Linked DNA regions of Caenorhabditis elegans. The protein of the gene in region 1 interacts with the protein of each later gene in a pairwise test. Each region holds a gene or a part of one and is shown in the gene's direction. Other genes may lie near its edges. The genes, in order: gln-3 and ugt-3.

What was found.
Region 2: the proteins of gln-3 (region 1) and ugt-3 interact in a two-hybrid assay, tested with the Caenorhabditis elegans proteins (one large-scale study listed by BioGRID).

Annotation. Positions count from the first base shown.
Region 1 is NC_003282.8:16,167,230-16,172,634, reverse strand, and holds gln-3 (Glutamine synthetase), read left to right. Parts: upstream 1-1,956; coding exon 1,957-1,963; intron 1,964-2,013; coding exon 2,014-2,187; intron 2,188-2,204; exon of another isoform or gene 2,205-2,225; intron 2,226-2,400; coding exon 2,401-2,562; intron 2,563-3,505; coding exon 3,506-3,980; intron 3,981-4,389; coding exon 4,390-4,738; 3' UTR 4,739-4,854; downstream 4,855-5,405.
Region 2 is NC_003283.11:12,797,739-12,802,098, reverse strand, and holds ugt-3 (glucuronosyltransferase), read left to right. Parts: upstream 1-1,827; 5' UTR 1,828-1,905; coding exon 1,906-2,046; intron 2,047-2,095; coding exon 2,096-2,321; intron 2,322-2,367; coding exon 2,368-2,457; intron 2,458-2,503; coding exon 2,504-3,222; intron 3,223-3,358; coding exon 3,359-3,772; 3' UTR 3,773-3,791; downstream 3,792-4,360. Other genes in the region: ugt-6 (UDP-glucuronosyltransferase), read left to right, coding at 4,022-4,174.

The DNA of each region.
Region 1 (5,405 bases):
CCCAAACGAGTTTTAAAGTGAGGTGTATATTGGGATTTTTAACTTTTTTTTTCTGATTTTGCTTTCCCATATTACTTATTTATATAACGTAAGCGAAAAAAGGATTAAAAAAAAGGATTAAAGGACGATCCGTTCTTCAAGTGCAATGCACTGCGGATCTGGGATTCAGGTACACTGCCCTCTGGGCTGTAATTTAAGCCACGTCCTAGCCGGGGACTGTGGCCGATAATCCAGTCGTGGATTGCTCCACTTCCCAATAGAGGCTGGGTGAACCTAGGGGGTGAGGCCGGACTTGAACTCGTGACCTCCAGACTGCTAGCGGCCACCACTACCGACTGAGCTATCTGCCCCCATCAGGATAAATTATAGACAGTAAGAAACAGTGAAATTTATTTTCAAAAAAACATTCTTATTTCAAAAAATATTTCAATCATTGTATCACTTCCCCAACTTTCAAATCTTTTATTTTTTCTATAACGTAAGCGAAAAAAATCAGGATAAATTATAGACAGTAAGAAACAGTGAAATTTATTTTCAAAAAAACATTCTTATTTCAAAAAATATTTCAATCATTGTATCACTTCCCCAACTTTCAAATCTTTTATTTTTTCTATAACGTAAGCGAAAAAAATCAGGATAAATTATAGACAGTAAGAAACAGTGAAATTTATTTTCAAAAAAACATTCTTATTTCAAAAAATATTTCAATCATTGTATCACTTCCCCAACTTTCAAATCTTTTATTTTTTCTATAACGTAAGCGAAAAAAATCAGGATAAATTATAGACAGTAAGAAACAGTGAAATTTATTTTCAAAAAAACATTCTTATTTCAAAAAATATTTCAATCATTGTATCACTTCCCCAACTTTCAAATCTTTTATTTTTTCTATAACGTAAGCGAAAAAAATCAGGATAAATTATAGACAGTAAGAAACAGTGAAATTTATTTTCAAAAAAACATTCTTATTTCAAAAATATTTCAATCATTGTATCACTTCCCCAACTTTCAAATCTTTTATTTTTTCTTTCATAGGTTCAATGTTCTTTTTTATCACTAAAGATTGAGAGTTGATAAGAAAATTCGTGGAATCACGTGAAAAACGCATGTGTCTCTCGTTTTTCAAATAAAGTGACCCCTCTGTTACAACGTAAGATTGGGTGTCCGTGCTACTCTGTGCACAAAGTGCAGATGGGCAGTCGGGCGGTGTAAGAAATATAGAATCTACAGATCTTTGAGAAAACTGACCAAAACGGCTATGTATTGAAAATAAAAGTTTTCTTTTTTTTTAAATTAATATTTTGAAACAGAAAAAAATTTTCAATGAAAATTCGAATTTATTTTTGAGTTTTTATGCTAAAAACTTGCAATTCTTGGAAGAATTCAATTTATTTTAAAATGTTATAGATAGAAACTGCAAATACTTTTCTTAAAGTTTACTAGAAGAAATGGAACGTTTGAAACAGCAAAAATTTGGAAAAAAAATGAAATTTGGTAAATGAAATTTAAAATTTTTTATATTTTTAAAAATCATAATTTCCCAGAAAAAAACCTTTACCGGACCAAAAATCAAACGCTATGCAAATTGGCGGGACCAAGTCCAAAGACCAAATGCACGTATGCATACACATATCTTATCTCCCCCGTTTTCTCTCTGCGTCTCTCCATTCTGAACACTCTCGTGTCTCTCCCACTATTATTGTCTTCCCATGTCATCGAAATCAACATAAATCTAGGTTTATCTAGAACCACGTGACCCAACGCCCCGCCCCGCCCATCAGTCTCAAAGAACTTTCACTCTGCTTTCCAAGACACTCACTTCGTATACACTTGCCTTATCACCGAGTACTCTGCCCCCCGCCTAAGCTCTCCTTTTTGTCACTATAAATATCATATCAATTTATTATAAAACAGTGTACACTAGTGTTTCTACCATCCATTCCTACTCTCCCAGACATGTCGCGTATGATTTTCAACGCTTTTTTCGCATTTTTCAACACCTTCTAATTACAGAAATGGCTCAATCACTCCGCAGTCAATTCGCCACCGACAAGCAGGTCCTGCAAAAGTTCCTGAACTTGGACCAAAAGGGCATGTACCAGGCCCTCTACATTTGGATTGACGGATCCGGCGAGAACATTCGTGCCAAGACCAGAACCTTCGATTTTGAGCCAACTGACCCAGAGAGTGAGTTTTGTTTTTTTGCAGAAATTCCAGAACATCTAGTTTAGATGCTTCTAGTTTAGTTTAGTTTAGATGTCATTGAAACGGCAATTGTTAAAAGTATGAATTTTCAATTAAGATTTTCGGATTCCACGTAGCAACTTTAACAAAATATTTCAAATTTTCGATGCAAGCCCCATATCTTGCTACCTTACAACAATTCCCTCCGATTTCCAGAGCTCCCAATTTGGAACTTTGACGGATCATCCACCGGTCAAGCCGAGGGAGCCGACTCCGACGTCTACCTGAAGCCAGTCGCCATCTACCCAGACCCATTTAGGCAGGGAAAGAACAAGTTGGTGATGTGCGAGACCTATGACAACAAGAAGAAGCCAACCGGTGAGTATTTGGAAGTTCGATGGTGACACCGAGAGAAGAGATAGGTAGAGATAAACGACGAAGGCGAGAGAGAGAGAGAGAGAGAGAGAGTGGGGGTCCAAGTGTCAGGTGGTCAGTGCCGCGTAGTCCTTGATTAACAATTGATTAGAACCAGTTATGGTATATTTTTCATAATGTGTGCTTTGATGCCTCCTAGATTAGACTACACATCCATCTTTGCCCCCCGTCTGCTAATCGGACGCCCTCGGAGGCTCATCTGTTGGGTCAACAGTGATGTACTATGTACAGAGGGATGGGGTGGTTGACCACGAGTTGATAAGACGGGCGGTTGATAAGTGAACTTATGAACTGGCCAAAGTTCCTTTTCAAGACGCAAAACAATGAGGGGCAGGATAGCTAGTGGTGGCCGCTAGCCATCTGGAGGTCACGAATTCAAGTTCGGCCCAGCCTCTATTGGGAAGTGGAGCAATCCACGACTGCATAATCGGCCATAGTCCCCGCCTAGGACGTGGTTTAAGTTATAGCCCAGTGGGAGCACTAAGTGTACCTGACTTCTAGATCCGCAGTACATACACTCAAAAAAATAAAACTGCGTGGTGTGTATTGCAGAAAACCTAATATTTAGGCTCCGCCTTTTTATCGTCCACCCACGGGGAAAAGGCGAAATTCGGGACCCAACCAATATCAGGCCGCCGACATCTCACGGACTCCGCGCGCCGCTATGTTTAACTCGCAGCGGGCGGAGACAGCTTGCCACGCCCACAACGAGTTAAACGCAGCGGCGCGCGGAACTCGTCAGATGTCGGCGGCCTAATATTGGTTTGGTCCCGAGTTTTGCCTTTTCCCCGTGAGGGGACGGTAAAAATGTGGGGCCGTTTATTATTTTGAGTGTAGCACAACGGATCGTCCTTTAATCCTTTTTTCTAAACTGTGAATATTCCAGCCACCAACTACCGCCAGCGATGCAAGGAGGTGATGGAGAAGGCCGCCGACCAGCACCCATGGTTCGGAATGGAGCAGGAGTACACCCTTCTCGACATTGACGGACATCCATTCGGATGGCCAAAGAACGGATTCCCAGGACCACAAGGACCATACTACTGTGGCGTCGGCGCCAACAAGGTCTACGGTCGCGACATCGTCGAGGCTCACTACCGCGCATGCCTCTACGCCGGAATCCAGATCTCGGGAACCAACGCCGAAGTGATGCCCGGACAATGGGAGTTCCAGGTCGGGCCATGCGAAGGAATCCAGATGGGAGATCAGTTGTGGGTGGCTCGCTACTTGCTGCAACGTGTCGCCGAGGAGTTTGGCGTGATCGCCTCGTTCGATTGTAAGCCGATCAAGGGAGACTGGAACGGAGCCGGATGTCACACCAACTTCTCCACTGATAAGATGAGAAATCCAGGAGGAATTGAGTGAGTTTTTAGGGCATCAAAAATCTGATTCGTGAGATAGTTGCCTAGTGCTTGAACATTTTCCGAGGAGTAGGTTTTCACGGCGGCCGACATTTTCTGAGTTTTGCCACTCACTATACTTAATCATAAATGTTACAATGAGTGACTAAACTAGTAAATTGTCGGCCGCCGTGAAAACCGGACTACGGACGCCCGATATGCCAGCCCTAGTGCTGAGGAACCTTGATGGATAACAATCCTTTTATGGCCTAAAATTTCTTGGGGGCTTTTGGTCTAGAAAATTCAAGTTTTGGGCCTAGCTTGTTCTTCAGGCCATACACACCGCGGGCTTCTATTAAAATTCGGCTTAGAAAAATCTTACCTAGTTTTCGAAAAACTATGACGTCATACTTACTATTTAATTTTTCAGCGAGATCATGTCCGCCATCAACAAGCTCTCCCTTGTCCACCCACAACACATTGCCTACTACGATCCACACGGTGGAAAAGACAACGAGCGTCGTTTGACCGGACTCCACGAGACCGCATCGATCGACAAGTTCTCCTACGGAGTCGCATCCCGTGCCTCATCCATTCGTATTCCACGCTCCACCGACGATGATGGATACGGATACTTCGAAGATCGCCGTCCATCATCCAACTGTGACCCGTACACCGTCACCGGAGCCCTCGTCAGAACTGTGTGTCTTGAGGGAGCCGAGCGTAAACTGTCGATGATGTATGTTCCAAGCCAGGCACCAAATATTACCAAGCATTAGAGTTCGGATAGTTTGAGTGTGATGATTCTTTTTTTTTTTGAATACTTATTAATCTTTTGTAAAGAACATTTACATTTTAATTGTACAAATAAAAGTTTCAAAATTTCAAAAAAAAATCTGATGAACCTATATCCGTATTTAAACAGGATATTAATTAAATTTAAAAAAATACCACAAAGCAATATCTTGTAATGTTGAAACAGTAAATCACATTTTTCAACTAAATTTTTGAAAATAGAATCCCACGTGGATCGACAAATTGAAATTAAAGGAGAGGCTGAGAAGAATATGCAAGTAGTGAAACATGATGAAAAAATTAACATGGAAGTTCGAAATTCTCAGTGTGATTCAATTCAAACTTCATATTACGTGTTTATCCACAGATCAGAAAAATCGCCATATCTGCCGCGCAAATGAACCCGCGGGAAGAGACAAAACTACTGTAGTTTTTAACCAATTTGTGTAGATTTACGAGCTATTGCGTCATCGTTGAATTTAATCAATTTTTAATTTTCAGGCGTTTTTCTAATTTTTTTGTGTTTTCTTTTAAGATTTATTCAAAAATTGATAAATTTCAATATAAAAATGTGTGAAACCCCTGAAAATTAAAAATTGCGGCTCAAAATTAAATTCAACGTCGGCGCAATTTTTTATTTATTTATTTTTA
Region 2 (4,360 bases), on another chromosome or scaffold:
TAGTTATCAGTATTAACTCTCAGGAACCAGAATAAACTTACAAAATAAATTTCTGCAAAATATTAGGTTGAACCGGAAATCTTTGTGACTGGGTTTGCTTTTCCAACGCTAGCCGCAGTTGCACTTTGGTGTTCCCTTGTTGCTAGGGTATAACAACGAGTAAAGGAACTTCATTTTGAAAATCACCCCACTCCTTTCCCTTTGGTCTGAGTTCAGTTAGCCGACAATGTATTTATCTAGTGCCATCCACATCCGACATGGTTCGATGCACCTTTTTCTCTCTCATACCACGATGAAGGATTCGGAAAGTCTCCTGAAGGATGTTTATCATCGACATGTCCGCCACTATAATACTATATACATTTGGTTCCATCACTTCGAAAAGGACGACTTTTCTCTCGAAGACTCTGAGACCCCATAAATTGGATTTGGACACGTTGCAGAAAGCCATGGCAACGGATCCTTTCCAAACCTCCCGTGAGCTGTCAACCGCACTTCAATCCTATCAAACCATCATCGTACGGGGCTGGGAAGCTCTTGGAATGAAGAAAATTATGGGTCGATTCATACCTCACTCTTCGACACAAGCCAACCATGATTTTTGAGTGGATGATTCCATTTCACCCCTCACTCTCCATGGGGCCGATCGATGTTTGGGCCGACTCATCACTGGAACCGAGAAGTGGGTCCTCCATGATAAGAACCACACGCGTGCCCAGTGGTTTGTAGAAGGAGAAACCCCACAGGGTGCCGCCAAACCCGACCTTAACCCCAAAAACGTCATGCTCTCAGTGTGGTGGGGAGTGTACGGCCCCATCAACTGGGAACTGCTTCCTGGGGGCAAAATAGTTAATGGGGACCTTTAAGTTATCTAACCACAAAACCTAAGGAACATATTCAATCGTTCACCCCTGAAGGACGAGCAACTCTACTTTCAACAAAACAACGCTTATCCCTACGTCACGAAACAAGTATTGCAGGAACTGGTCAGGTATGAATGGATGATTTTCCTTCACCCACCGTATTCTTCAGACCATGCCCCATCTGCATACTGACAGTTTTCAGATATGACTCGTGATCTCCGGGAAAGAACCTTCAATACCCATGGAAGTGTCGAATTGGCACTCAAGCATTATTTCGACTCGCGCCTGGAAGGGTTCTGTGAGCAGGGCCTTCATAAGTTGCCCACACGTTGGCAGTACATTGCTGATAATAATAGCAAATAAATATTATTCTGTCGTTTCTCTTGCTCCGAGAAATAAACGATTGAAAAAGTCACAAAGACTTCCGGTTCAACCTAATATATAAACAAATAACTTTCGTTGTCGCGGTTACAATAATTCCAAGAATTGTAGAAACCCAATAACATAGGTAGAACTGTCATACTTCATACTGTCACAATTGATCAACAAATTCACAGAATAACAAAAAATTTGAAAAATTCCATGTATTAGACATCAGACAGGAACAATAATTGATAGTTTTGGATACGTGAAGCCAATGTTTTTGAAGTCTATTGGAGGCATAGATTTACCAGAGTAAAACTAGATTTTCATAATAAACTTATAAAAATTATCAAAGCAAATTTCAGGCAAATCTCTAAATTGACAAACATTTTTGGACACTTTCGAGATGAACTACTTACATGAATACATACTCTAATGCTGACTACACATTCCATTTCTTTATTTTTCTTACGTCTTTTGTTTCTTGTAATTTTTCATCGAGAACAGAGAACATAGAAATAGACACTCCAAGTAAAGAGAGATAATGTTAAAATGCAAGAGACGGTTTCAAATCGGGCGCTGATCATTTGAAAAGTTTGCAACTGAACTTAGTCTGAGTGGTATAAAATGCCTGAAAAAAATTAAGAGAATATGTTGAAGTCTAATTCTCGAACTCAAAATGAGGTACTTATTATTATTAGCATTTTTTCCCGTTGCTTTCGGGTTCAATTATCTTATTATTTCCCCAGTTTTTGGGTACAGTCATATGAAATTTATGGGAAGAATTGCAGACATCCTTGCTGATGCTGGACATAATGTGGTAAGGTTTACTTATTTAAATATTAAATTTCTTATAAGTTCGATTTTAGACTTTATTCCAACCAATAATTTATGATTACTATGCACACAAAAAAATTGTGAAGAATCCGAACATTGAAGTGATTAATTATGAAGTCGATGAAGAAGAAAAAGCTGCAGCTTCTGAAGCGAGTGTTTTCAAGTTTTTCTGGAAAGCAAAAGGATCTAAAAACCCAATCTCTTCTGCAAAAATTACATCAGAAAAACTTTACAAAGAGTTTGAGCATATTTGTAGAAGTAAGATTCATAGTTTTGTTTCAAAAATGCATTCATCAATTTTTAGAAATGCTTTTGGACAAGGAACTTCATCGTTGGATTCTATCGAAAAACTTTGACTCCCACATATCAGAGGCATTTGATTTTTGTGGTTTATGTAAGTAATAATTTAATTTACAATCAAAGTGAATAATCAATGTTAGATCTTGGAGACTTCTTGAAACTAAAATCACCAATCCCTCTCTATAGTGGAGTTCGATGTGGAGCAGCTTCATACGCTGTGGGTGAACCTATTCCATTGAATTACTTACCAACAGAGGGGTCTAATTATGGGAAGAAATCGAGCGCAATTGACCGATTAAGTGACATGCTTGGACTAACCGGTTATCACTTTCAATTCGGGATTTTGTTTGATAAACAATATGATCAAGCTTACCGATTAACTGGTGGAAATGTCCGAACTTGGCAAGAAATACTTCAAAGCTCCACGTTTTTCTTGACAAACTCCAATCCTTACTTATCATTTTCAACACCAACAATTTCAAAAGTGATTCAAATTGGAGGTTTCACTATTGAATCATTCAAAACAACTACACTCGATGAAGAATTTAACAAAATACTTTCGCTCAGAAACAACACCATTCTAGTGTCTTTTGGAACAGTTATTCAATCATCAGATATGCCAGATGATTTCAAAACTGGACTTATTGAAGCATTTCGCAGAATGCCAGATGCTACATTTATCTGGAAATATGAAGAGGATGATAAGACGTTGAAGAATAAACTTTCTGAAAACGTAGTTTTAAGCAAGTGGATTCCTCAGCCAGCTCTGTTAGCAGACAGTCGATTAGATTTGTTTGTGACTCATGGAGGTTTGGGAAGTACTATGGAAGTTGGATATGCAGGAGTGTCAAGTATTATGGTAAGTGAGATAATTCACTTCTGGTTTCACTATTTTCCTGTAAACTTTTGAAATATTTTTTCATCCAGATTCATGATTAGAATATAAAAATGTTTTACCACCCGCTAACCTTCTTGTATCAAACGTATATTTTCAGGTTCCTGTATTCAGTGATCAAGGAGTAAATGCAGAGATGTTAGCTCGCCATGGTGGTGCCATTGTCTATGACAAATTTGATCTTGTCGATAGCAAGAAACTAATGGAGACGATCCAGATGATTCTCAATAATTCTGATTACAGAAAGAATTCGAAACGTCTTTCTGATATTCTTCATAATCAACCAATGGATCCGAAGCAAGTACTTCTAAATCATTGCGAATTTGCGGCTCGATTTGCACAGGTTGATAATTTAGAACCATACGCCAATAAATACAACTTTATCGAATTTTATTGTCTTGACAGTCTAGCATTGGTTGTTTGTACAATTTCTGTTGTAGCATTAGTGATGTTTAAGATCTTAAGTTTTGTTGTCAATAGCGTAATCGAAAAATTGAAATTAAAAAAAGAATAAATAAATAATTTTTTTCCAATATTCACTAGTCAGTAGAAAGGGCATTATCAGTGCATTTATGCATAGAACAGTCCCGTGGAATTGTTCCTTTTGTTTGTCAACGAAATTTTGAACAGTCTGTAGTCCATTGGTTAGTTTGCAGTTGATACCCCTAAAAAAGTAAGTTATCAAAATGAAGAGAAATCGAAGCTGATAATATTTTATGTACAGGTACAGAAGGTAAACCAATACACTCTCTTCTTGTTTGCCATGCTTCAAATTGTACTTTTTTTGTTTATTTCAACTCTATTCGGTAATGCATATTCTTATAAATTTCTAGTCATTTCACCGGTTTATGGATTCAGTCATATGAAATATATGGCAGAATTAGCAAATCATTTGGCAAGAGCTGGAAATGATGTGGTACGTTTTTTTATTCAAAAAGTACTCAAGATTTCAAACGTGGCGTTACTTTTTGTTCTTCGAATAACGTCTGCAATTCTACTGGGACTTTTTGAAAAATTATTGTTAAGGTATCAATCTGTACAAAAAAGTGTGAAAATTATTTCTAGTTTAGTGGAGAAGCTGTATGTTTCAAACAATTTTATA